Linked DNA regions of Arabidopsis thaliana. The protein of the gene in region 3 interacts with the protein of the main gene of each other region in a pairwise test. Each region holds a gene or a part of one and is shown on either strand. Other genes may lie near its edges.

Evidence for each region.
Region 1: the proteins of MLO13 (region 3) and CNGC13 interact in a protein complementation assay, tested with the Arabidopsis thaliana proteins (one large-scale study listed by BioGRID).
Region 2: the proteins of MLO13 (region 3) and CPK1 interact in a protein complementation assay, tested with the Arabidopsis thaliana proteins (one large-scale study listed by BioGRID).

The regions. Positions count from the first base shown.
Region 1 is NC_003075.7:433,717-440,861, forward strand, and holds CNGC13 (cyclic nucleotide-gated channel 13), read right to left. Parts: upstream 3,876-7,145; 5' UTR 3,688-3,875; exon of another isoform or gene 3,556-3,687; 5' UTR 3,527-3,555; coding exon 3,498-3,526; intron 3,372-3,497; coding exon 2,849-3,371; intron 2,776-2,848; coding exon 2,264-2,775; intron 2,138-2,263; coding exon 2,026-2,137; intron 1,936-2,025; coding exon 1,699-1,935; intron 1,611-1,698; coding exon 1,216-1,610; intron 1,136-1,215; coding exon 853-1,135; 3' UTR 501-852; downstream 1-500. Other genes in the region: AT4G01000 (Ubiquitin-like superfamily protein), read right to left, coding at 1-11; AT4G01020 (helicase domain-containing protein / IBR domain-containing protein / zinc finger protein-like protein), read left to right, coding at 5,370-6,329, 6,515-7,145. UniProt on the Arabidopsis thaliana protein: Putative cyclic nucleotide-gated ion channel.
Region 2 is NC_003076.8:1,416,064-1,424,105, reverse strand, and holds CPK1 (calcium dependent protein kinase 1), read left to right. Parts: upstream 1-3,551; 5' UTR 3,552-4,228; coding exon 4,229-5,141; intron 5,142-5,258; coding exon 5,259-5,402; intron 5,403-5,497; coding exon 5,498-5,650; intron 5,651-5,811; coding exon 5,812-5,927; intron 5,928-6,082; coding exon 6,083-6,250; intron 6,251-6,401; coding exon 6,402-6,626; intron 6,627-6,977; coding exon 6,978-7,091; 3' UTR 7,092-7,542; downstream 7,543-8,042. Other genes in the region: AT5G04885 (Glycosyl hydrolase family protein), read right to left, coding at 4-208, 512-756, 1,009-1,040. UniProt on the Arabidopsis thaliana protein: May play a role in signal transduction pathways that involve calcium as a second messenger. Phosphorylates the Ca(2+)-ATPase ACA2 resulting in the inhibition of its calcium activation.
Region 3 is NC_003075.7:12,572,168-12,580,620, forward strand, and holds MLO13 (Seven transmembrane MLO family protein), read right to left. Parts: upstream 5,417-8,453; 5' UTR 5,351-5,416; coding exon 5,231-5,350; intron 5,147-5,230; coding exon 5,089-5,146; intron 5,010-5,088; coding exon 4,798-5,009; intron 4,713-4,797; coding exon 4,596-4,712; intron 4,486-4,595; coding exon 4,431-4,485; intron 4,353-4,430; coding exon 4,237-4,352; intron 4,143-4,236; coding exon 4,068-4,142; intron 3,980-4,067; coding exon 3,891-3,979; intron 3,792-3,890; coding exon 3,701-3,791; intron 3,613-3,700; coding exon 3,406-3,612; intron 3,310-3,405; coding exon 3,242-3,309; coding exon of another isoform or gene 3,238-3,241; exon of another isoform or gene 3,159-3,237; coding exon 3,098-3,158; intron 3,009-3,097; coding exon 2,841-3,008; 3' UTR 2,552-2,840; downstream 1-2,551. Other genes in the region: WRKY7 (WRKY DNA-binding protein 7), read left to right, coding at 1-538, 641-766, 1,120-1,279; GH9A3 (glycosyl hydrolase 9A3), read right to left, coding at 5,704-6,105, 6,187-6,359, 6,440-6,575, 6,662-7,126, 7,203-7,516, 7,594-7,966.

The DNA.
Region 1 (7,145 bases), about 12 Mb from region 3:
TGATCCGCCATCGATTTTCGATTCAAAAGCTTGGACGAAGAAGAAGAAGTTCGATTTCTAGAGAGGAATCAGAGAGAAATTGGGGAAATTTGACGGAGCCCTAATAATAAGTCTCTCTCTCTCTCGCTGCTTGTTGGGCTAAGATTATTATCTTATCCACACTTTTGGGTTTATGACTGGGCTTTATATTGTCTGAATCTATGTCGGTCAGGAGAAATCGATTTTTTTTGTACAATTTGACCAAACTAATATCTATATATGATATGGTAAATGATGTATTATTAAGTAAAAATTATCTACAATTGAATCTTATAATAAATATATATATATGGAAAAATTACTCTTAGATAAAATAACATGATAAATTGTATGTTATTGGTTAAACATGTTATTTGTTTTTTTTTGGTCAAAACACACACATGAAAAAACAATTTTTAAATAAATTTGTTATATTTACTCCAAAGCTTTTAAAACTAAAAAAAAAATTAAGGTTACCTAAAGTTATCAAATTCATATATATAACCATGTTTTATTTTTATAAAGGTATCTTCAATAGTGATCTCTATATTTTCCTTTATTTATAGATATGACTCTATTTTAGAGGCTGCTCCAATGGTCACATGTAAAATAGAATTTTCTTTAAAATAGAGGAGATATCATCTCTATAAATAAAGATCTCTACATTTAGTCTCTATTTTTTTCCTATTTTTGAGGAAACTCTATTTTAAAAGTGACCATTGGAGCATCGTGCCTATAAAATAGGGTCACTAAATTTTTGTAATTAGTTTAAGCTTTAATGTCGTTGACACAATATTATATACAAGTGGTAAGTGGACATGTGTAAGAGATATTTTAAGGGTTTCGGAGACTGAAATCAGGCTCGGAGGGTTTAGGAGGTAGCAAAGGTAGGTTGTTTGTACGCAGATTGCGAAGCGCGTTTGAAGCAAACCGCGACGCGTATAACGTTGCAACCAGGCTAGACGAAGACGCCGCATTGCGTTCGCGTTTTGTGATCGCGTTTCGGAATCGATCTTCTTCTTCGGTTAATGATCTAGCTAGTTTCCTCCGGCAATGTCTCCGCCACGCCGCTTGTATGAAAGACGCACCCCAAGTTCTCCATTGAACCGAATAAAACCTGACAGTTAAACCGAATTAAACCAAACAGAACCGGAGATTGGAGAAGCAGAGAGATCAGTCAAAAGAGACCAAACAAACCTGAAAGTATGTTGAAGCTGTTTGCTATGTAGTCGTCTGAACTGTGAAGCAACAAGCTTGAGATCATCTGCTGCAAGAGCAAAGGCTTCTACTTCGGTTAAAGCTTGAACTGTTCTAGTCGATATCGGAAAATGAGACGAAGATTGAGGATCTAATGCCCATGTGAGAAGATCTTCGCCGCAAAAGTCACTAGGTTTTAGGTATACGGCGTTAAAGAAGCCGGTCCGGCCACCGTTTGTGGTGGCGCTCATCAGTTTTCCTCTCATGACAAACAACATCTCTTCCACTGGATCTCCTTCTCGAATTGCATAGCTGTTCTCGGTGTAGAGCACTGGTTTTAGCTTGTCACACACGGCATCTAGCAATTGCTCATCCATTATCTCGAACAGAGGTACCTATATATATTTGATTCGATCAATGATTATTTGAATGAAATGTCAAATTTGAGGATCAAAGAGATAAGGTGGAACTAGAAGCACTTACTTTCTTGAGAAGATCGAGGCAGAAATGGCGTTTGATGTCTCTCCTGAGGTCTTTAGGGAGATTACGCAGAAGGTTTTCTTCTTCTACTCCTCTAGTTTCCTGCCATTTGTACTGCTCATACCTTCTGATACGTTTCCTCAAGTCATCGGGTAACATTCGATGAGACATCCATTGCTCTGCATCTCTTTTTCTCACTCTCATCTCCTCTTCCCTCACTGTAGTTGATTCCAAGTATTTCTGTTATGGAAAGTGGAAACATCAGTAGTGTTTTATCTTCCTTGGGGATCAAGTAAGTGATGGAAAAAAGGCAGTGAAATGAATATATACCTGCATATTGCCGATAAGTAGTGCGAATAAGACTAGTCCAGATATACAAATTGATACAGCAAATATGATTTCCCCAACGAATTTGCTTGTATTGAGATTTTGTCCCAATGCACTGCAGCGAGTGAGAAACAGCAAGTGATCAGATTAGTGTTTCATGCTCAACATATCTTAGCCAGCCATCAAGTGTGTCACATGAATCCTAAATTACTAATAACTAGATAGAGAGAGTGTTACAAACCTTAAATTACGCAAACCCCACCAGAAGCAGTAGAAGAACTTCTTCCAGAAATCATCTGATTCAACAATCCCACTCTTTAAAGCATCAGTAAAGATACCAAAGTTGAAGACAGTTGAATTTGTTATATCATCAGGGTTGATAAACGGGCACGAGGTAGTCAGGAAATCGTTTCTAACACTACTGTTTCCATCGCAGTAGAGAAATCTAAAGTTACACACTTCTGGTATCTTCTCACAAGCTTCACGCCAGCATCTGTCTTCTCGTTCTACTGATATTAAGTACCATAAGGCTCCAAACACATGACTGGCTAACATATAGAGAGATAGGTTCCAAGCAGCTCCAGCCCAAGCGGTTTCAGTAACTATGCCAGATGTTCTTGTAACTTCAGTGTAAAGTGGATAGATACGAAGAATCCTTGGAATGTATTGAGTAAATATGACAGTTATCAAATAGTCCTTAGTGATCAAAGAGACCGGCTTGTTGACATTGGGGATGACAGCTAAGACTACAAGCTGCAGCAGATACAACAGAATATTAAAGAACCATCAAGAAGGAACTATAAAACCATTAGGAACTAAAGGTTACCTGTGGGAGTGGAAGGATAGAAAGAAGATCGATGATGAAGTAGGAGGAGAGGTACTTGATGGCTATAGCTTTAGGATCATCAACCAACTCGCCTCTTCCGAAAACACGAGAAGAAGGAGAGATATAAGCAGTTCTAAACTGAAACACAATGTGAATGATGTAGAAAGCATCTATAAACGTGCGAAGCACACTAGCTGCTATCTCCAAGTTACGATGCAAATTAAGACAGTGTCTTTCTCCATCAACAATAGGAATATAGAAAAACAATGGATCAATAGCCAAAGCAATCACTGAAGCAAAAAGAAAGATTTTGTTCCAGTTCTGTAAAAAAGATCCTTGTGGGTTTATAATATTCTTCTGTGTAGTGGTACTAGAATTAGAATCTCTCTTCTTATTATGTGAACCAAAACTTAAAGGTTTCTTAAGTCCTCTACGAACATTCTTCAAAACTGTGTTTAGAGATGGTCTAGCTTTATTTCTTCCGTAACCATACTCTGTTCCCTCTGAAATCCAATCTCTGAACCTAAACAAAAAATCATCAACAAAAAAGAATATTTTTTCTGAGAATCATTCATATCCATAGTTTCTCAGTAAATTCATTCTAAAAAAAAAAAAAGACAGAGATTAAAGAAAGCAAGCAAACAACAACCTTACACGATTGTTGCGGCCAAAAGCCATGAGTCAAGCTTTTTTTGCTATAACGGATCCTGAATCATAAGAACATCGATTTGATCGCTTTAATTCGTTATCCCCAAGTTTACAGTAACAGAAAAAAAAAAAAAAGAAGAAGAAGAAGAAACGGAAACTAAGAAATTAAAACATTTATATCCGAAACTGACCAGAACGTTGAAGTAACTGAGAGAAGCGATATAAGAAAGATTATAGTAAGAATTTTCCGATGATCTGAAATTGGGAAAATTCTCGAAATTAATTCTCTGAAGTTTTTTTTTGAAGCAGTCAAATAAGCTATCATCGTAGAGTCAAGCTTGGCATGGCGCTGGAAAATGGAGACTCCATTGGCAGTTTCTTCGAAATTGTGTGCATTTTACAATAAAAGACAAAAGAGAGGGAATTATTAAAGAGTCAAAAACATTTGATGGGCCTAACCTTAATTAAAAGCCCAATTCGATATTGAATTTGATTTTAAAATTCAGAACTTGTTATATATCAGACCAACACAGTAAACATCATAGATTCCAGTAATGCATCAGCTATAAACAGATCCTAGCAGTGTGAAATAGTAAATATGCTACGATTTAAAGGTTTGGATCCAAAGAATTTTACCAACTTCATAGCAGATTGTTCACACTCTACACTCAATAAGCCAAATGTAAACAAAAAGATGACCAAAGATCTTCACAAATCTACCATGAATCACAAAATCTATGAAGACAATGTGATTTAAAGCAAAGATCTTACAGTTTTTATGGGCTCTTAGTTAAATTTTGAGATAGTAAATTTTCATATAGGCCCAACCGCCCAAGTGAGCAATCTTGCAGGACTTTTGTGTTGTTTATGGCTTTTGTCTTGTCTGACTCATGAAATCTTGTTTTTTTTTGTAGATAAAAGAACGATAAATGACGCTTTTAAAACTTTTTAAAGACGAGAGTTCTAATAAAATTAGGAAATAATAATATATGATGTTGACAAAAAATGTAGAAAAATATATGAAATTTTTATTGGCACGAAAAATTTGTAGCGAACCGCATCATATCATCACTTATATAAGCAATATTTTTTGAAAATAACTCATTTGAATATCATTAATTAAGCAGATGAGAAAAAATGATATGAGGTTATTGAAATTTTTAACCAAATTGTTTTTTATATAAAACATGTAACACTTTCTGTTTGTTTTTTCTTTTATATAATTTTGTTAACACCTTTCTATATTTTCTGCTTTCAATATTTTCTATTTTCTTTTATTTTGAAATAGTATTTTTTTTTGTAGGGATTTGAAAATAGTTTTTTTTTTGTAGGGATTTTAAAATAGTTTTTGAAACTACTAACTAATTATTAATAAAATTCAATGCTTTGAATAAAATCTAAATGGTATACAAATATTAAACTTTACAAGAATATGAGTTAACTATTTAATACCTTTAAGATTTCATATTTACTTTTGATGATATGTACATTTTAATACGTATATGGCAATATCATTGGTAGATACACTATTTCTAACTTAAATTTTAAAATGTGGTAAAAACATAAAATTGAAATACTAAGAAATGTTACTTTAACACTTTTATCCTCAAATTTGGATTTCTGGATGTTTCTATAGGTCGAACCAATAATTAAAGAATTGATAGTAACAAAATGGGTTTTAATATTGATTAGAAGAAAATTAAATTAGGTTAAAGAAAAAGGAAAGAGTAGACGAAAAGTTAAATAAATTTTAATAGGGTTTTAATATTGATTGATATAACTCTCTGACTCTTCTGTGACTCTTTTCAACTTCTGACTCTTTCTCTTTCGCTCTCTCATTCTTAACAAGAAAAAAAACTGGCATCATCTCATCATGAGGAACTCTTTTCCTCCTTCAGACGGTGGGAGATCGACGACTGATCGTCGTCAGCAGTCGTTTCCCTCATCCTCAACGAACCGTTATAACTCTCGCTCTGCACAATCTTCTCCGCCGCTCAACCACTGTACTACTTGGAACCAGCAACACTCTCAGTACCATAACACTAATTTCCCGCCAAATTACAGACGTGATCGTGCTCCGTCGTCGGGATTCTCTCCTCCAGTCACGCGGGCTAGGCCTAATTTCATCGTTCAGCTGCTTCACCCCGCCGCCGCTAACAGTGACACAAAGCTGTCTAAGAAGCAAGAGATCGAGAGTATCGCTTTGCTTTGCGAAATTCCGGAGGAATCAGTTCACGTGCCTCAATTTGGTTGTATCGCTGCAAGCTTCAGTTTTCGTCAGTGGGTCGATGCGCGTTCTGCCGTTGTGGCTCTTTGGGATTATCGTCTTCAAGGGAGACATGATTTTGTTCCTGAGCTGATTCCTAATGTTGTTGTTCCGTCTGACATGGACGAGCTTAAAGACAGGCTTCGTGATCTTTTCTCGTCTCATGTTCTTTCGCTTATGGAAAATGGACAAGGGGTCAAGAAGGTGAGAATGGAGATTGATGACAAGTCTCGTCAAGTTGCGTCCTTTTCGTCTAAAAGGGGTCTGAAATTTGAGGTTTTTGAGAAAAAGAAGGCTCTTGAAGCGGAGAGAGATTTGGTTGTGAATCGGCTTGACGAATTCAATAATGCCATGAAGAGCATTTTGCGATATCTCATAGGACAAGACGGGTATGAGTTTGATGTAGATGATGAAGATGACGAAGACGTGGCCGTGTTTTCTTTGGAAGGGGCCTATGATTGGAGACGTATTCATTATTTGATTCTTAGAGAGTGTCGAAGGCTAGAGGATGGACTGCCTATCTATGCCTACCGGCGGCAGATTTTGAAGAAAATTCATTGTGAACAGGTATCTTTAAGAATCTCCAAGTTGACAAGTGCTCTTTGGGTCCAAGCTAGTTTTGAATCACTTGAGTACAGATATTCGAGTTATGCTGTTGTCTTGTTGTACTAGTTCATATTGTCTGCTAAGGTTCAGTTTTATAAATGAGTCTGTGTTTGGTCATTTTGAATTGATTTTAATTGTGTTTGTAGATAATGGTGTTGATTGGAGAAACTGGTTCAGGGAAGAGCACTCAGTTAGTTCAGTTCCTTGCTGATTCCGGAGTTGCTGCTAGTGAGTCGATTGTTTGTACACAACCACGGAAGATTGCTGCCATGACATTGACTGATCGGGTCAGAGAAGAAAGCAGTGGTTGTTATGAGGAAAATACTGTTTCTTGTACTCCAACTTTTTCGTCTACTGAGGAGATTAGTTCCAAAGTTGTATACATGACGGATAATTGTCTGCTTCAGCACTACATGAAAGATCGGAGTTTGTCTGGCATTTCATGTGTTATTATTGACGAAGCTCATGAAAGAAGCTTAAACACGGACCTTCTTTTGGCATTGCTTAGAAAGTTGCTATCCAGAAGGATTGACCTGAGGCTTGTTATCATGTCTGCCACGGCTGACGCCAACCAACTTTCACAGTATTTGTTCGATTGTGGTATTCTTCATGTCAATGGGAGGAACTTTCCGGTGGAGATTGTATATTCCCCTAGTGGCACAGAAGAGAATTCTGTTGTTGGCCGCATTGCTTCATATGCTGGTGATGTTGTTAAGATGGCAGTGGAAATACATAAAACAGAGAAAGAAGGAACCATCCTTGCATTCTTGACTTCCC
Region 2 (8,042 bases), on a different chromosome or scaffold from region 3:
TGCCTAGTGGCTCCAAGACCAACATTGTGAGGGAAAATAGTAGCGTTATAGACATTGTTATGCCCGTGAACGGCATCAATGCCATATATCATAGGAATTCCCAAACGACTAACTAGAGCCCCCTTTTGGTACTCATTTATCATATCAACCCAATTCTGAGCACTTGCCTCAGGAAGTGGAGCGCTCCCACCACCACTCAATACACTGCCTGTACAGAACAAACAGACAACTTCAATTTTCAAGTTTCACAAATACAGATACTCAATACCAAGTCAAGTTACGCAGCTTATCTAGTTCTTTATTAACAAGATGATGAGAAACTGAAGTTCAATGAAAGCAAAAACTGAATGATATCCTCATTTCACCTAACAACACCAGTAGCACCGACCAGTTTTCTAAGGAAACCATACAAGATGCCCAAAATAAGGTTTAAATGAACCAATTAAACTAGCCAAGCAAGTAAGTAATCAGATTTCTGGAAATCTCCAAGAAAGATTGTTCTTTTACATACCGATGAAGTAATCTCTCATAATGTTGACAGTGGCAACACTTCTATCAATCTGCACCATCTGGCCAATCTTCTCTTCCAAAGTCATTCTACCAAACAAATCCGCAACTCGATCTGACACCGTCTGTTTCGGGTCCTTGTACAACAGATACTCTCCATCCCCATAACAACAAACCCACATACACATCCATAGAAGAACCCCAACGATTCTTACTGAATCTCTGCTCATCTTCGTAACAGGGGAAACTCTGGCAAAACAACAAAGACGGAAGAAACTCAAGATAAGAAAGACTTGTCACTTGTCAGCTTAAAAAAGAAACCCCCAAAATTGTGAAACCTTGGTGCTTATCAGCAGCCAACCAAGAAAACAAAAAAGCAACTTCGTTATTCATCAGTGACAAGAAAGAAGAAAAAAAGCAAAAATAAAAGCAAGCTTTTTAAGATTTACTGTTCGAATTTCAACAAAAGATTGAATAAGCACACGAATCCGTAAGAAGTACTTTCTCATTTTCTTATTTTCCAAACGAATCATTATAAAGCTACTAGCCTCATACAAGAAACCAAGAACCAAGCTAGCCAAGAAAACAAGAAATAAGAAGAAGCATACATTGGGGGTAAGGAAAAAGGCAAGATTCAACAGTAGAGAATGGAGGAAGAAAGAAGAACTTACATGTGAGAGTTAGGCAGAGCAAGACCAGAAAATATCTGATTCTTCTTCGCTGAGAATTTTTATATGAGAAAATAAAGAGTAGTTAATAAACGCTTTTAAGCAGATTTGAGAAAGAGAGAGAGAGTGTTAAAAGACGTTGATGCGGTTTTGTGTTGTTTTTATTGGGACGTGGGGTTGGCTCACGTTTTTCCACAAAACATCTGTACCAGTCTACACTGCATAATGATGCATAACGACGAACAAAGCGGCGTCGTTTTAGTTTTTTAAAAAAGTTTCTTTCTTTTTTGACTTCTTACTTTTTTTTATTACTGAAAAGTATCGTACTTGCTTTAACGTACCTTGGACACGTGTCAGTAGGCGGGAGAATCGGATTCCTCGACTCTTATCTCACGCTAAACCGGCGATTCTCCGCCTCCCGCCGCCGCTTCGTCTATCTCTATGGCCTCCGTTGCGAACACTGAACTGCTCAATACGCTTCTACTGTATCTTCCTCATAAGCCTTCGCGAGGTTTCTGAGTCGCTGCTCTGTGTATCCACCGCCGTAAAAAGCTCTCCTTTTTCCTCTCCGATTCTTCTTCTGTCGACTTTGTCTCCATCCTCGGATCATGATGACGGGAATAGGAGCCGTTTGATTGAGGTTAGGGATTTAAGTGCTTGTGATTGTTGAATTGTGGAAGAAAGGAGAGATTTTTCATGTTAATGAAACACTAGTACATATAGACGTTGTGAAGTTTGTTAGCCGTGATTCTATTGGATATTATTTCTGTACTAAGAGAGCATTAGCTAAAATTTCTGACAAGCTTAACTAATTCCAATTGTGTGAATCATTTGCATCATTGCTGATATTTCCTAACTAATATTATGAAAGGTTGAGGCTCGTAAGTTTTTTGCTTATGAACACATTTTTTCAAGGTAAGTTTCTCAATCTTCATGTTGTTGAAACATATGATTCCTAGAGTATCTCTACTCGTACCCCTCTCATAAATCATTGTGTTTAAAGCCGAGCATCTGCATGATATGTAAGGATCTCTTGCGGTTCTCTTCTTGAGTCTCCAAACTCCAGTTGAGATCCCTGGTGTTAGCAATATGGATTTTCTCGAGAATATAGTATTTGATGCTAGGAACAGAAAACCTGGTCAGCCAAAGATTGAGCCAATGTAGGTGTCTTCGCGCATTAGTCAGTTAGATGGTTTTGGACTGTTACTTAGTTGATGGTGCACACTCATATATCTGATATAGAATTGTGTTCATGCAGTTGGAGGATTTAGAGGTGGCGAAAAGAAGCATAAAGAGATTCTTCCATTTCCAAGCGCAACACATGATAAGAAAGGTGAGGGTTTTCTTACCTTATTTTCCGGTCAATGGAAGACACACACTTGAATACCGTCATTTCCCTTTCCCACACTTGTTCTCTATTAGTGTCATAAACAGAATGCCGAATAGGTTACTTTTCATTTTATAGTCATGACTAGGAAATTTTGTTCCTCATAGCAAGATATGGAAACAGTTGTCAATTTAATTTCGTCATAGTGAAAAGGATCAATCAAGGAACAAGTACGGAAAAGATTGAGAATCTCTGTAATAAGGATCATCTGTTTTTGGAGGTCCTTGGATGTTTACTTGATCAGGACGTGGCAGAGGCAATGAACAGACTTTTGTCACCAAAAAACGCTGTTGTGATGATTGATAATCTACTATCAGAACATACTGCACTACATCAAACCAAGTCTCATACACATCATAGTGAGCGTCTTTGCCACAAATCATATCTTCTTAAATACTGATTCAAACCACCATCTCTTGATAACAATAGTGAGCTTCGTTTTTGTTTTAGGCAAGCATTCTTTCCATATCAAATCAATAACAGAGTGTCCAGAGATTCATACCGTTCTATTGCAGTAGGGACATCTCATTGGCTTATCTACTGGAAAAAGGAAGGGTGCTTGAGTGTTCCGTTAGGACCAGCAAAAACAATGGAAAGTGGTGATCATGATGTTTAGAACACCAAACTCGCCGTCTCTACAATATTAGTTCTGGTCTAGGTTTTGATCTTCAATAATAGCTGTGGTCGGAAGGAGTAATTAGGGTAAAACATAAGGGCGAAGACAAGAATGTGTAGAGCATGTGATTTGTTCAAGCTTTAACATGTGGATGTCTTATTTTTAATGACTGCTCTTTAATATGTGGGTTTTGTTTGCGCATTTTTCACTTGCGGGTTATATTTTTCAAAAGTAGTAAATGATGGGACCATTATAAAAAGGATGTTATTAGGACTCCAGAAAGGAAATTGATTTTATGGAAAATCACCTTTTTACCTCAAAGTTTTAATATATTACTAATTAAGTACCCTTACATAAGAAGCTGCGTTGCCAAGATTGAAGAGGGTGGTGGACTTTGTAATCAAAGATTAATTAAAAAGAGAGTTAAGACAAATCTCAGCGGAAAACTCGGCGGTGATAGATAATCAAAACAAAAGAAACGCGTTTTTCAAACTGGTTCAATCTTCTTCTTCGTCTTTCTTCATCGTCTTCTTCTCTATACAGACCTTGACTCTCTCATTAAATTAACAAATGTCCCTACGGTTTATGCAAGTGTAGTGCTATTAAACTATCCCTTTTATTTTCCCACCCAACTCAATTTATTTTCTCATTCTTTCTCTTTACTCTTCTTCAGATCTCTCTGTTTCTTTCTTTGTTGTTGTTATCTGGGGATGCTTTCTACTCTCTGTTTGGTTTCCTTCATTGTGACTTTCTATTTTCTGGGTTTGTTTCAAGTCATGATTTTTCCGATACCCTTTTGATTTTTCTTGCTATTTCTCACCTCTGTATAAGCAAGCTCTCTGCTGTTTCTCCTCATCCAAGTTGGGTTTATCAGTTCAGCTGTGTAGAAATTCAATCGTCTGAGAAGTCCGAGGTTTGATGTCTGATGGTTTTAAGATCGAAAGGATTTGACTTTTATCAGATTAGTAATGAGATTAGATTGTTTTTGAGGTTATTGTAATCAGATCTTGATGCTATTTCTGGTGAAAGAGATTTAAGACAAGTTAGGGAATGGGTAATACTTGTGTTGGACCAAGCAGAAATGGCTTCTTGCAATCTGTTTCAGCTGCAATGTGGCGGCCAAGAGATGGAGATGATTCGGCTTCCATGAGTAATGGAGATATTGCAAGTGAAGCTGTTTCGGGAGAGCTTCGATCTCGATTATCTGATGAAGTCCAGAATAAACCTCCTGAACAGGTCACAATGCCGAAGCCAGGGACTGACGTCGAGACCAAGGACAGAGAGATTCGAACTGAAAGCAAGCCTGAAACGCTAGAGGAGATAAGCCTTGAGTCCAAACCAGAGACTAAGCAGGAGACCAAGTCAGAGACCAAGCCGGAGTCAAAACCTGATCCTCCAGCTAAACCTAAGAAGCCTAAACACATGAAGAGAGTGTCAAGTGCAGGGCTTAGGACTGAGTCAGTGTTGCAGAGGAAGACTGAAAACTTCAAGGAATTCTATTCCTTGGGAAGGAAACTCGGACAAGGGCAATTTGGGACGACTTTTTTATGTGTCGAGAAGACTACGGGGAAGGAGTTTGCCTGCAAGTCGATTGCTAAGAGGAAGCTATTGACTGATGAGGACGTTGAGGATGTGAGAAGAGAAATTCAGATAATGCATCACTTGGCTGGTCACCCTAATGTCATCTCCATCAAAGGAGCTTATGAGGATGTTGTGGCAGTGCACCTTGTAATGGAGTGTTGTGCAGGCGGCGAGCTTTTTGACAGGATCATTCAACGCGGTCACTACACAGAGAGGAAAGCGGCTGAGCTCACTAGAACCATTGTTGGGGTTGTAGAGGCTTGCCATTCTCTTGGTGTTATGCATCGAGACCTCAAGCCCGAGAATTTTCTGTTTGTCAGTAAACACGAAGATTCCCTCTTGAAGACGATTGATTTTGGACTCTCCATGTTCTTTAAACCAGGTTTGATTTCATTGTTACTCATCTTAAAAGATCCACTTCCAGATTTGGTCTTTAACGTGAATAGTGTGATCCTTGTCGAACAATTATTTCTGAACTCGATTCCCTTCCTCTTTGCAGACGATGTTTTTACAGATGTTGTTGGTAGCCCATATTATGTTGCCCCAGAAGTTCTTCGAAAGCGTTATGGCCCTGAAGCTGATGTCTGGAGTGCTGGAGTGATTGTGTACATTTTATTAAGCGGAGTTCCTCCATTCTGGGCTGGTAAGAATTGTATATATACAGATAAGAGATTTGTCACTTTTCCTAACTAGGCTCTGAACAACATCTCTAATCTTTTTGTTTCTTTGAACATTCAGAAACCGAACAAGGTATTTTCGAACAGGTCCTCCACGGTGATCTTGACTTTTCGTCCGATCCATGGCCAAGTATATCTGAAAGTGCAAAGGATTTAGTGAGGAAAATGCTTGTCAGGGATCCCAAGAAAAGGTTAACTGCCCACCAAGTATTATGTAAGTTATTTTGATCTGAAACCTTCTCTTCCAGTTAAAGCGCTGTGATTCTCTTTCTGTTAATTCCATTGAGCATAGATTTCACTACATGAATAAAGTGTGTTGTCATGTAGAGTGATCTACCATCGTTCTATCTCTTATGGAGTTGTGCTTCTTCTCAGGTCATCCATGGGTTCAAGTCGACGGTGTGGCTCCAGACAAGCCTTTGGATTCTGCTGTTCTGAGCCGTATGAAGCAGTTTTCTGCAATGAACAAGTTCAAGAAAATGGCTCTTAGAGTAAGCAGCTTTCCGATGCTAAACAAAATTTAAAACCATATAAAAGAAGTTCCTGTCATAAACATAAGATAGCTACATTTAACCCATCTTCCTCTTGTTATGTGGAAAGAAAGAGACGACGGAGATTAAGTTTCTCTCTTTATGCCTTTTTGCAGGTCATTGCTGAGAGCTTATCTGAAGAAGAAATCGCCGGCTTGAAAGAAATGTTTAATATGATAGATGCGGACAAGAGTGGTCAGATAACTTTCGAAGAACTGAAAGCAGGACTAAAACGAGTAGGGGCGAATCTCAAAGAGTCTGAAATTCTCGACTTGATGCAAGCTGTAAGTTTTAACCGGCATACCAGTTCCCTAACTAAGATTCTGAACTGATCTTGTTATCATTCAAACTTACTCTGTTGGTTGTGGTTATATACTTCTGTTTTTGCTAGATATGCAAGTAATCTGGTTTCTCTCTCATGTGTATATAATTCAGGCTGATGTGGACAACAGCGGAACAATAGATTACAAAGAGTTCATAGCTGCAACATTACATCTAAACAAAATAGAGAGAGAGGACCATTTGTTTGCAGCCTTTACATACTTTGACAAAGATGGGAGCGGCTATATCACCCCAGACGAGCTTCAACAAGCTTGTGAGGAGTTTGGTGTTGAGGATGTCCGCATAGAAGAACTGATGCGCGATGTTGATCAAGACAATGTAAGTTCCTTTACACCTTTTATCATCTCATCCTAATTATAAAATGACTTGAATACTTCTCAACAATGATCAAATTTCAATGGATTATATACATTTTACTCATAGGAATCTCACTTATATGATCCTCTTAAATCCTTGCATTATTAAAACTACACTTCACTTACCGAGTTTTCATGTCTGTTTTCTTGGGAAAACTGAGACGATTGAGTATGATTCTTGTTAAACCTAGGGGGATAGTAGAAACTCTCTTTCCTGAGAAACAGTGAAGTAAACCGAGTTTTCATGTCGGTTTTGGATTGATATATTGGTTGAATGTTGATAATGTTGAACATTTGAATTGTTGTATTGTAGGACGGGCGAATAGACTACAACGAGTTTGTGGCGATGATGCAGAAAGGAAGCATCACAGGAGGACCTGTGAAAATGGGTCTAGAGAAAAGCTTTAGCATTGCTCTTAAACTCTAGTTTCTCAGTCTATTTAAAAGTACAAAACTAAAGCCAAGAAGACAAAAGAGTTTTCTGATAATATATACCATTTTGATTATGTTGAAGACATATGCACACAGCCAAGATTCTCTCTTGCCCTCTTTTGGATTCTCTCAATCTTTTGGATGAGGTTTTGTCTTAGACTTGTTTTGGAAACTTTGTTGTATTGTGTTACTTCTTGAGCATATATAGTCTTCTAACATTACAAACCACGATTTCTTGTCTGTAAGTAAATTCAAAGAGTCAAAAAACTTGAACACGATTTGGAAATTTTGCGATAACGATCATCAAATTTTTGTGAGGGCTTTTTCTTGTAAAGCAAAAAGTTTGAGTATTTATGTGAAAATCGTTTAAAAGTTGAGGTACTTCTATGTAATTTCCCAGTTTTCTTTTTTTGAGAAATAAAATAACTTAACCGAATTTCAATTAATTTGTTGTCCGAATTATATAATTCAAGTCCTTACCGAATCTAAGCTGAAATCAAATTAAATTATAAGCAGATAATTAAATTGGTCACCGAAAATAATAGCCACCAAACCTCCTAATCCTAAACACGTAGTATTTTGAGATCTTTATTTTCCATTTACATAATTAATTTCTTTTTTATGATTGGAAAAAACGAATAAAATGATCTTTTAGCTAGTGTTTTTGGTCAACATAAATACCTAACTTACTCTTTAGAACAACAAAAAAAATGGAGGAAAAATATAAAAGTGGGTCTCACAATCAAGTTATTTCTCCAAAAATAAATAATTTAAAGCTTGCGTTTGTTGTTGACATTTAAAAATGTTTATTTTGGGGTACGACTTTTTAATTTATAAAATTATTAAATTGGTTTTATTTAAATAAACTGATTAAATTGTCTATTTCAAAACTGCGTCCCTATCCCTTTTAAATTTCCTAATTTCAGTCCACAAAACGTGATCATGA
Region 3 (8,453 bases):
TCATTTCTCTACTCGGTAGATCTAGAACCGGACACGCTAGATTCAGACGAGCTCCCGCGTCAACGCAAACGCCGTTTAAGCAAACGCCGGTGGTTGAGGAGGAGGTGGAGGTGGAGGAGAAGAAGCCAGAAACAAGCTCCGTGTTAACAAAACAGAAAACAGAGCAATATCACGGTGGTGGATCTGCGTTTAGAGTTTATTGTCCAACACCAATTCATCGTCGTCCTCCTCTATCACACAATAACAACAACAATCAGAATCAAACAAAGAACGGTTCGTCTTCTTCATCTCCTCCGATGCTCGCAAACGGAGCACCGTCAACGATAAACTTTGCGCCGTCACCACCAGTCTCAGCGACGAACTCATTCATGTCTTCTCATAGATGTGACACCGATAGTACTCACATGTCATCAGGATTCGAGTTCACTAACCCATCTCAGCTCTCTGGTTCGAGAGGTAAACCTCCTTTATCATCAGCTTCGTTGAAGAGAAGATGTAATTCATCTCCCTCAAGCCGTTGCCATTGCTCCAAGAAAAGGTTTTGATTCAACTTCTATTATTAAAAATTAATCTTATTTTAGATCTAAATCTTGAGATTTGATTAATAAAACGTTAATTATAATTTGTGTAAAAAAATCAGGAAATCAAGAGTAAAAAGAGTGATTAGAGTTCCAGCAGTAAGTAGCAAAATGGCTGATATACCATCAGATGAGTTTTCATGGAGAAAATATGGTCAAAAACCAATCAAAGGCTCTCCTCATCCTCGGTAATTATTTTTTACATTTTTTACCATCGATATATATACTCTACACATACATCACAATCACTCACTAGATTCAACACCAAAAATCAAATATTGGCTAGAAAATTAAGCAACTTGTGTATTGTCAATATTAGTACCAGAGAGATTGTCAATATTGTTTTTTTCTATATCGGTTGTACCAAACATGTTGTCTAGTAGTACAGTAGTGGGTTCAGTTTCACGCTCTTTTTGACTTGTTGTTTCCTATAGAATAAATTTGAAATAGAAAGCCGAGAGTTAAGTTGACTATTTCTTTTCTCATTAATTAATAAGAACTCGAACTAACTGGGGAGGACTCGGTGTAATGGTTATGACAGGGGATATTACAAGTGCAGCAGTGTAAGAGGTTGTCCGGCGCGTAAGCATGTGGAGCGTGCACTAGATGATGCGATGATGCTAATCGTGACGTACGAAGGAGACCACAACCATGCTTTGGTTCTCGAGACGACGACGATGAATCATGACAAAACTCTTTAGTTTCTCGAGTTTGAGGGGAACTGTCTGTGTGTGACCACTATCCAGATTAGTCAACGACAGAGTGGGCCCGCACTGCACTTTTTTATTCTTTTCTTTTTGAAAAGCTTTTGCTTTATCTTTCTTTTTGATTGGAGGAAATAGAGGGAGGGGAGATAAAGACGAGAGAGGAACGTTGTGGATCTTGATGGAAGTTGAATCATGTGAATGTCCTTTTCTGTTTATTTATTTCTAGGATAATATATATTTAGTGCACTATTTTTGTCAAATCTCTGATTCTTTTCTTACTTGCAGAACTATTTGAGTTTTTAGGGAAATTATCAGTTAATTTAGATTCAACTGACCATAATGCTATGCTGGTAATTGGAAAAAATTGCAATTCAAATTTCGTTAAACAAAAAAAAAAAGAACTATTTGTAGATTACATAGTCAAATCAACTTAACACACGTTTATAGAAACTAGAAAAGTTGTCGATCAAATAATAAGTAGCTCTAATAAGTATTTATTTCAGCATTAGTGAAAAACCTCAGATGCAATGTCGTTATCCTTTTAAGTGTGTTTTTTCCAACAAAGTTGACAATGTTTATGATTATGTTAACGGCTATAAATTCAAGTGTAAAGTACTTCAACATTTAGTAAAAAATTTAAAGCTTTACTACAAAATTTTGTTACCAAGAAAATCAGCTATTCATGCATCATTGCGTTATAACTCTTCAATATCACTTTTAAGTGATGTTTTAGAGACTTTTTTTAAAAAGATGTTTTAAAATTTTTTAGACCAATCATATTTTAGAGTATGTTATCTAATTAGTTAAAATTTGTTTAATTGTATTATATGTAAAAGAGGTAGGATTAAAGTGATACACAAATTATGTGTTTTCTTAATTTGTGTATAAAACCTTTAAACATCACTTAAAGTGATACAAAAAGAGTATTTTACAACATATCCATTAATAGAATTTAAAAAGTCATTCACTTAGTCAAAAAAAAAAAAAAGCATTCCATATTTTTTATTTTATTTTAGAGATTAGTAAAAGAAAACGTTCAAATGCAATGTTATTTAGTATTTTTCTCCCTTACAAAGTTAACGACCTTTTTAGAAATTCTATAACGTCTACAAATCGTTTTAAGTATTAAATTGAAAAATGACAATGAGTTCGAGTAATTTGTTATTGTTAAAATATAAAATTTATCTTATTTAAAAGCAATTCTAAAGTTCTTCTCTTTAGAAGATGGGATAAATTTATCTTATCAACAAAAAAAGGTACTTATATAAAAATTTAAATTTGCCACTCTGAAAAATTAAGCTACATCCGATAACATCATTGAAAATTTAAACGTTGTGAAAGTAAATAACATAGAAGCTTTTTAATTATATATCAATCCATGTATCATCGAAGCTTTCTTATAAAAAGTAACAAGTCAACTTAATCTAGTAGCCTCAAAAGTAGAAAGGAACGTTGGCGTCAATGTCATAGATGCACACAATCCTCTGATGAGAGCTCTAAATGTGAAATAATAAAGGGATAGCCTTATTGGATTACGACACAAATTGCAACTTAATTAAGGGTTTTCACTTTGGACATTATAAGATTCAGGAGTTGTAGGTTGCATCTCTATCCTATGAGCCTCGCTCGTGGATTCGCCTCTGTTCCTCGTATCTTCTAACCATCCTTCCAGTGTGGACTGTACTACATTGTCGAATATCCCTTTCTTGAATTTGCTACCCATCTTTTAAAAACCGAGCAAAACAACAACAACAATTGATTCAAATTTGTTGTGAATTGGTGTAAACATGTGAATATATATGTGTCACTTACTTGTGTAACAAGGGCATATAGTGGTAATGTGCTGTAACTGCAAAGCACTTGGACTAACACTCTGTATGAACAAAGATCGAACCAAAAATATTAATTAGACCTTTTGAAGGTTGATATTTAGATTTAAAAGAGTTCATATATTACCCCATGACGAGTCTTGGGATAAGGTAGCCTAGTTTCTCCATGATACATGAATGTATTCCGTATGTGAACTGATGATACGATGGATAACTCGTAAATAAGAATGCGATGGTTCAAAAATTGTGGAAGATAAAGAAAGTGAAGCTGAGGGTTGAAAGAAAACGTACCAAAATCCAGAAGAAGAAAGCAATCTCAAATGAATTCTGAAAGAGAATGAAATGGATGAGTTGGAGAACAATGCCTGGCCTATGGAACCAAAAGAGTTCATCAGAAGGTGTGATCACTGCTTCTTCCGCGCGGCTTCGCTTCTCGGAAACATCCAAAGCTAAGCTACTTATTATATATTCCAACTTGGCACCCACCATTAGTAACAACTGCATTTTTGAAACACTTTTTAACTATTCAAAAAGATAAAATGAGATCAAAAGTGACAAAAGAGCCCAATCATATATAAGAACTTACAATCAAAGGCAAGAAAGATAACCAGAAGTAAGTGTTCCATCCTCCAACATTGAGCAGCAAAAAGACGACGACAAAGAGCCATAGATACCAACTTTATAATTATGTATGACATCAACAAAAAGGTGTCAGACAAAACTCATTAAGCCATAAATTGGTTTGTCTGTTTAGAGAGCTGATTTGATTATTTTACCTTATGCTCACAACTTTCTTGAAATCTATTTCCAGTGTTCTTAGCATGTACTTGTGAAAATCAAATGATGGGTTTGTGCGGCAATGACTCTAGCAAGGTAAGAAAAGTATAAGTATTGTTACATAAGAGATTTAGTAACCTAAATAAGATGTTGGAATAAGACAGTAAAAGTAAGACCATGATGAATGCTTGTCGCAGAGCTATGTATTCTGATTTGGTGACAGAACCATAAAACTGCTTGAAGAATGATCTCTGCAACAAACAGTACACATTGGCTAATCTCATTAGAATATAATTTGATTCATGTGTTATACTTTTGGCAGTAGTATATATATCCATTACTCACCACCCAGCTGATGACAACAGATCTTCTCCAAAATCCTCCAGCATGCATCTCGAAGAACTCGTGATTTGCACTGAATAACTCGTGAGCATGAGCATGATGACCACGCCTTGTAGTGCCTGCGACATTATGTTATGTACTTTGCGTGTGTTAAGGTACAAAGTAACTGTTAATTACTATTGTGGAATCTCGCTCACCCTTTTGAGAAGGACGTTTCTTGAACCAATCCTCCCAATGTTTCCATTGTTGTATCTACATATTATTTCACATCAATAAAATTAATCAGAGCCAGCTTTTGAAATAAAGGGGTTTAATGTTGTTTGGTAACTTGAGCAAAAAGCTATAAAAGCAAGTGGTATTACTCTTGCTCCTCCAAGAACCATGGTTGAGGCGCAGAAGATGACGTGAAAAACCGCTAGCACAAAGATGAAGATATGGAGTTGATGCAACGCTTCCACAGATACTAATGGAACCTGCCCCTGCAGCCATACCAAGAGATCAATGGTTAATAGAAAGAGATCCAGTAAGAGAAAGGAAACTAGCAAAACAGCAAAGAATGATTGCCTTGGCAGCACAATGGTCTGGACTTTCTCCTGTTGAAAGGAGATGTCGTGCATTGTTGATAATCGAATGAGATGATTTAGGCGCATGATGCTCCTCCAATGGCTTCTTACAGGGAAACATGTTGTTTACAAGAGCTGGTGGGACACAGATATGCCGAATTGCGGCCTGAGATACCGTTAACATCAGGGAGATAAATCCAAGAAGCATCAATTCTGTGTCAGGACATCAATATGGTCAGGTGTCAGGTGTAATCAAATCAACCATTTCATGTTTAGGGAAGAAGTACAATACCTTCTTTGAGTTTCTGCAAGGCTTCGAACAAGGCATCTTGTTGCCTACGCTTCAGACACTGAAACAGAGAGAACGGAAAGTTGGAAAAAGATTTTAACTTAAAACCTCAAGATTACTACAAACAGAGATAGTGATATTGGACCTTTCCAAGATGATGAAGACCACGTTCAGCGAGAAGAGATAAGAGAACAATGATGAAACAGATAAACGCAACGACCCATGTGGGTGTATACTCAAGAGAACCAGACCTTGCTTCTGCCATTTCTGCACCTCCAAGATGGAGACAACTCTGAATTAATATTATTATTATTTAAGGCAGAGAATAAACGCGGAAGAAGACGAGGGAAAAGAATAGAGAGAAAGAACAACATTTGGGTTATCTATCTATTACTAAAGCACAAAACCTTTCTTCGGTCTCACTCAACTGCTTACAAAATAGAAAACAAAGAATAATACACTGTATACCTCACAAACCCAGAGAGAAAACAATAAATGTTTGGTTTCTCAGACCGCATTTTTTGTATTAAGCTAAAGAAAACTACTTTTTCTGACTTGAAGCTACGTTTTATTAAGGCAAAAAAATGACTTATTACATTCGAAAAGTTTTATTTTTCTTCAAGGTGTCCAAGGTGCTGGAGGCGGCGGTGTAGCCATAACCAATGGAGGTACGGCAGAGAACATAGTGTTTTTGTCAATACCACCAACCGCTTTTTCCCCTGATAAAGCCACCAGAGCGGCGACTAGACCAGCATTTCCCGCTAGAGTCGGCTCTGTATAGTTGTAATTTGTTCGTATGTCGTGGAATCCGTCATGCTTGTCTGGTCCAGCAACCATTGCTCCATTAATAGCGTTTGGGTTATTCTTTTTGCTCTTTTTCCATTTAAATCCTCCTGTGCAGGTTTCTTTCATGTTCTTTGGAATTGAAGCTCCTCTGTGATGCACTTGTTTCGGGTACCGTTGCCCATAACCCACAACATAACTCATCTTCCGAGGGTTTTTACCAAGTATATAATCAATCTGCCAAAACAAAAGACACAAAGTTCCATCAGATAAGCTCCTTCAAAATCTTGTTTGTTTTCCTTCATTTGTGAATCATACCTGCGATCTTGAAAAGTTGCGTAGGAATTCAGTAGTATAGAAGTTAGGACCACAGTACCATCCGGGAGTATCAGCAGCCTCTAGATAATCACTGAATAGTGCCGCTAAGAAAGCCGCATTTGCAACATATTGAAGAGGCTGTGGAGCTCCATGGTTCAACTGAATCAAACCTCCTGCAGAGATGATACCGAGATTATTTTCTTGATCACGTTTTCAAAACGTGTGCAAATCCTCAAATTCACAGACAACTCACCATTGGTTCTGTTAAATTTCTTGTAATAAGGCAAGTAAGAGCACATAACTCTGCCTGTTTGGTTATGAAATTCGCTTAACATGTCTTCATATGGATATCCAGGGCTCAGAAACAGCCTCATCCGTGTTAACAGCAACTTCAAAAGACCACATAAATCCAGAAACTAAGCATTGACTACAAATTCCAAAAACAGAACAAAGAATGTCTCATAGAGTAACTAACCTGAGCCCCTGGAAGCTTGTTGTCCCAGCTAAATACGCCATAATAAGGACTATTCCCGAAGGCACCAGCTTTCTCAGCCATGTGGTGACTGGTAACTCGTTCTAGATAAGTTACATTTCCAGTAGCATAATACAGCCAAGCACCACCCCATAATAGCTCATCCTCAAACATGCTAGAGTTATAAAATTTGCTAGACTCTTTACCATTTTGACTGTATCTATTCCTAGAAGTAGTTGCAAACCTATAAAGCGTCTTAGCACCATGAACAAGATTTTTCGAATATAATCTGTTGTCCTTGAATACAATGGATGCAGAAGCCAGAGCAGCTGCCATCTCTGCAGCAAGATCAGAGCAGCTACTGTAACATTGAGATACAGTCCTTTTATAATGAATATCCTCAGGACGCATCCAACAGTAATGGTCATTGTGCAATTCACTTCCTCTACCGCTAACTCCAGATCCGACCTATGAAAAAGCAAACGTTAGTAGCTGAAACAGCGAAGTAAGTAAGTTTTTCTAAACTCTGTTTTTTTTTTCTTACCTGTTCCACCATAACATAGATGTTATCAGCACTACTATTGAAAGTCTTGAGAAAGTAGTCAGTTCCCCATTTGATGAGTTCTTTAACATGTTCAAGCTCGCCAGCAGCTTGGTACTTTGCGCTGTATTCGATTACACTCCAGCTCAACATAGTCATAGCATAAGACATTGGGAAGTTGAATTTGATAGAATCTCCAGCATCATAGTAACCTCCTACCAAATCTTTGTAGCATTGTCCTGGATCTCCCTTACCATCTTGTAGACAAGAATCATGCCTCCATGATACATTATAAATGTTCTTTGGAAGTTTCCCAGCTGCAAAGCAACATCAACATCACATAAGAAATCAAAATTGAGACATGAAGAAAAAATCTCAAAGTTTTAGTGCTTACATTGTTGAGCATTGAAGAACTTGAGAGCTGTACGGAGAGCGATAGTGTAATTATCCGGTGGTGGTTCCTTGTGGTGGTGGTGTGGCAATGTTTTAACGATCAAAGTTATGAATCCAGAGAGAAGAGCAGTTACTACAATGGTTCCAAGAGTCCAAAGAAAGATCTTACGGCTGACTAAGATACATCCAAGATCGACGTACTTTTTCTTCTTAAGCACTTTTGGTCCAAGAAGCCAACTCTGTTGCGTTTCGTCGAGTGGCCGCGAAGGAGTCGCACGGTCAAGGTCTTGTAGGTTTCGACTACGATCGTCGTCTGTCATGGAGTCCGCCGCATTGATCTCTAGAGGACCACCCCATGGATCACGTCCGTACATAATGATCAGTCAAAATCCGATGAGATTTGCTGAAATTTCTGAGGGAAGAGGAAGAGGAAGAGTTTTGGAGTGTTCCTGTGGTTTTAGGGTAAGTGAGGCGTGTGTGATGTGGAAAGTGCAAGTGAAGAAGTGTAAGTTAACTCAGTATTTTGCCACGTGGAATTCATTCGGTCGTGCATTGGACTTTATGTCCTTTTTTAAAAATATTACTTTAATTATTTTATAGCTGGAATTTGGTCCGTAGGCCCACTTTGTTGTTTTGGGTAATGTTTTAACGTCAGAAAACCAATTAGGTGAATTCATGATTTTATTGCAGAAGAAATGTTTGTCTGTAATCCACTTTGTTTTTATAATTAGAGGGTAAATGCATTTACGCCAGAAACCAATTAGGTGGATTTCACGACCTTATGTTATAAGATAAAAGAAAATTTCAAAATACCATCAAAAATTATTGTATTACAACCTGTTTTATTATTTTACATTTCTA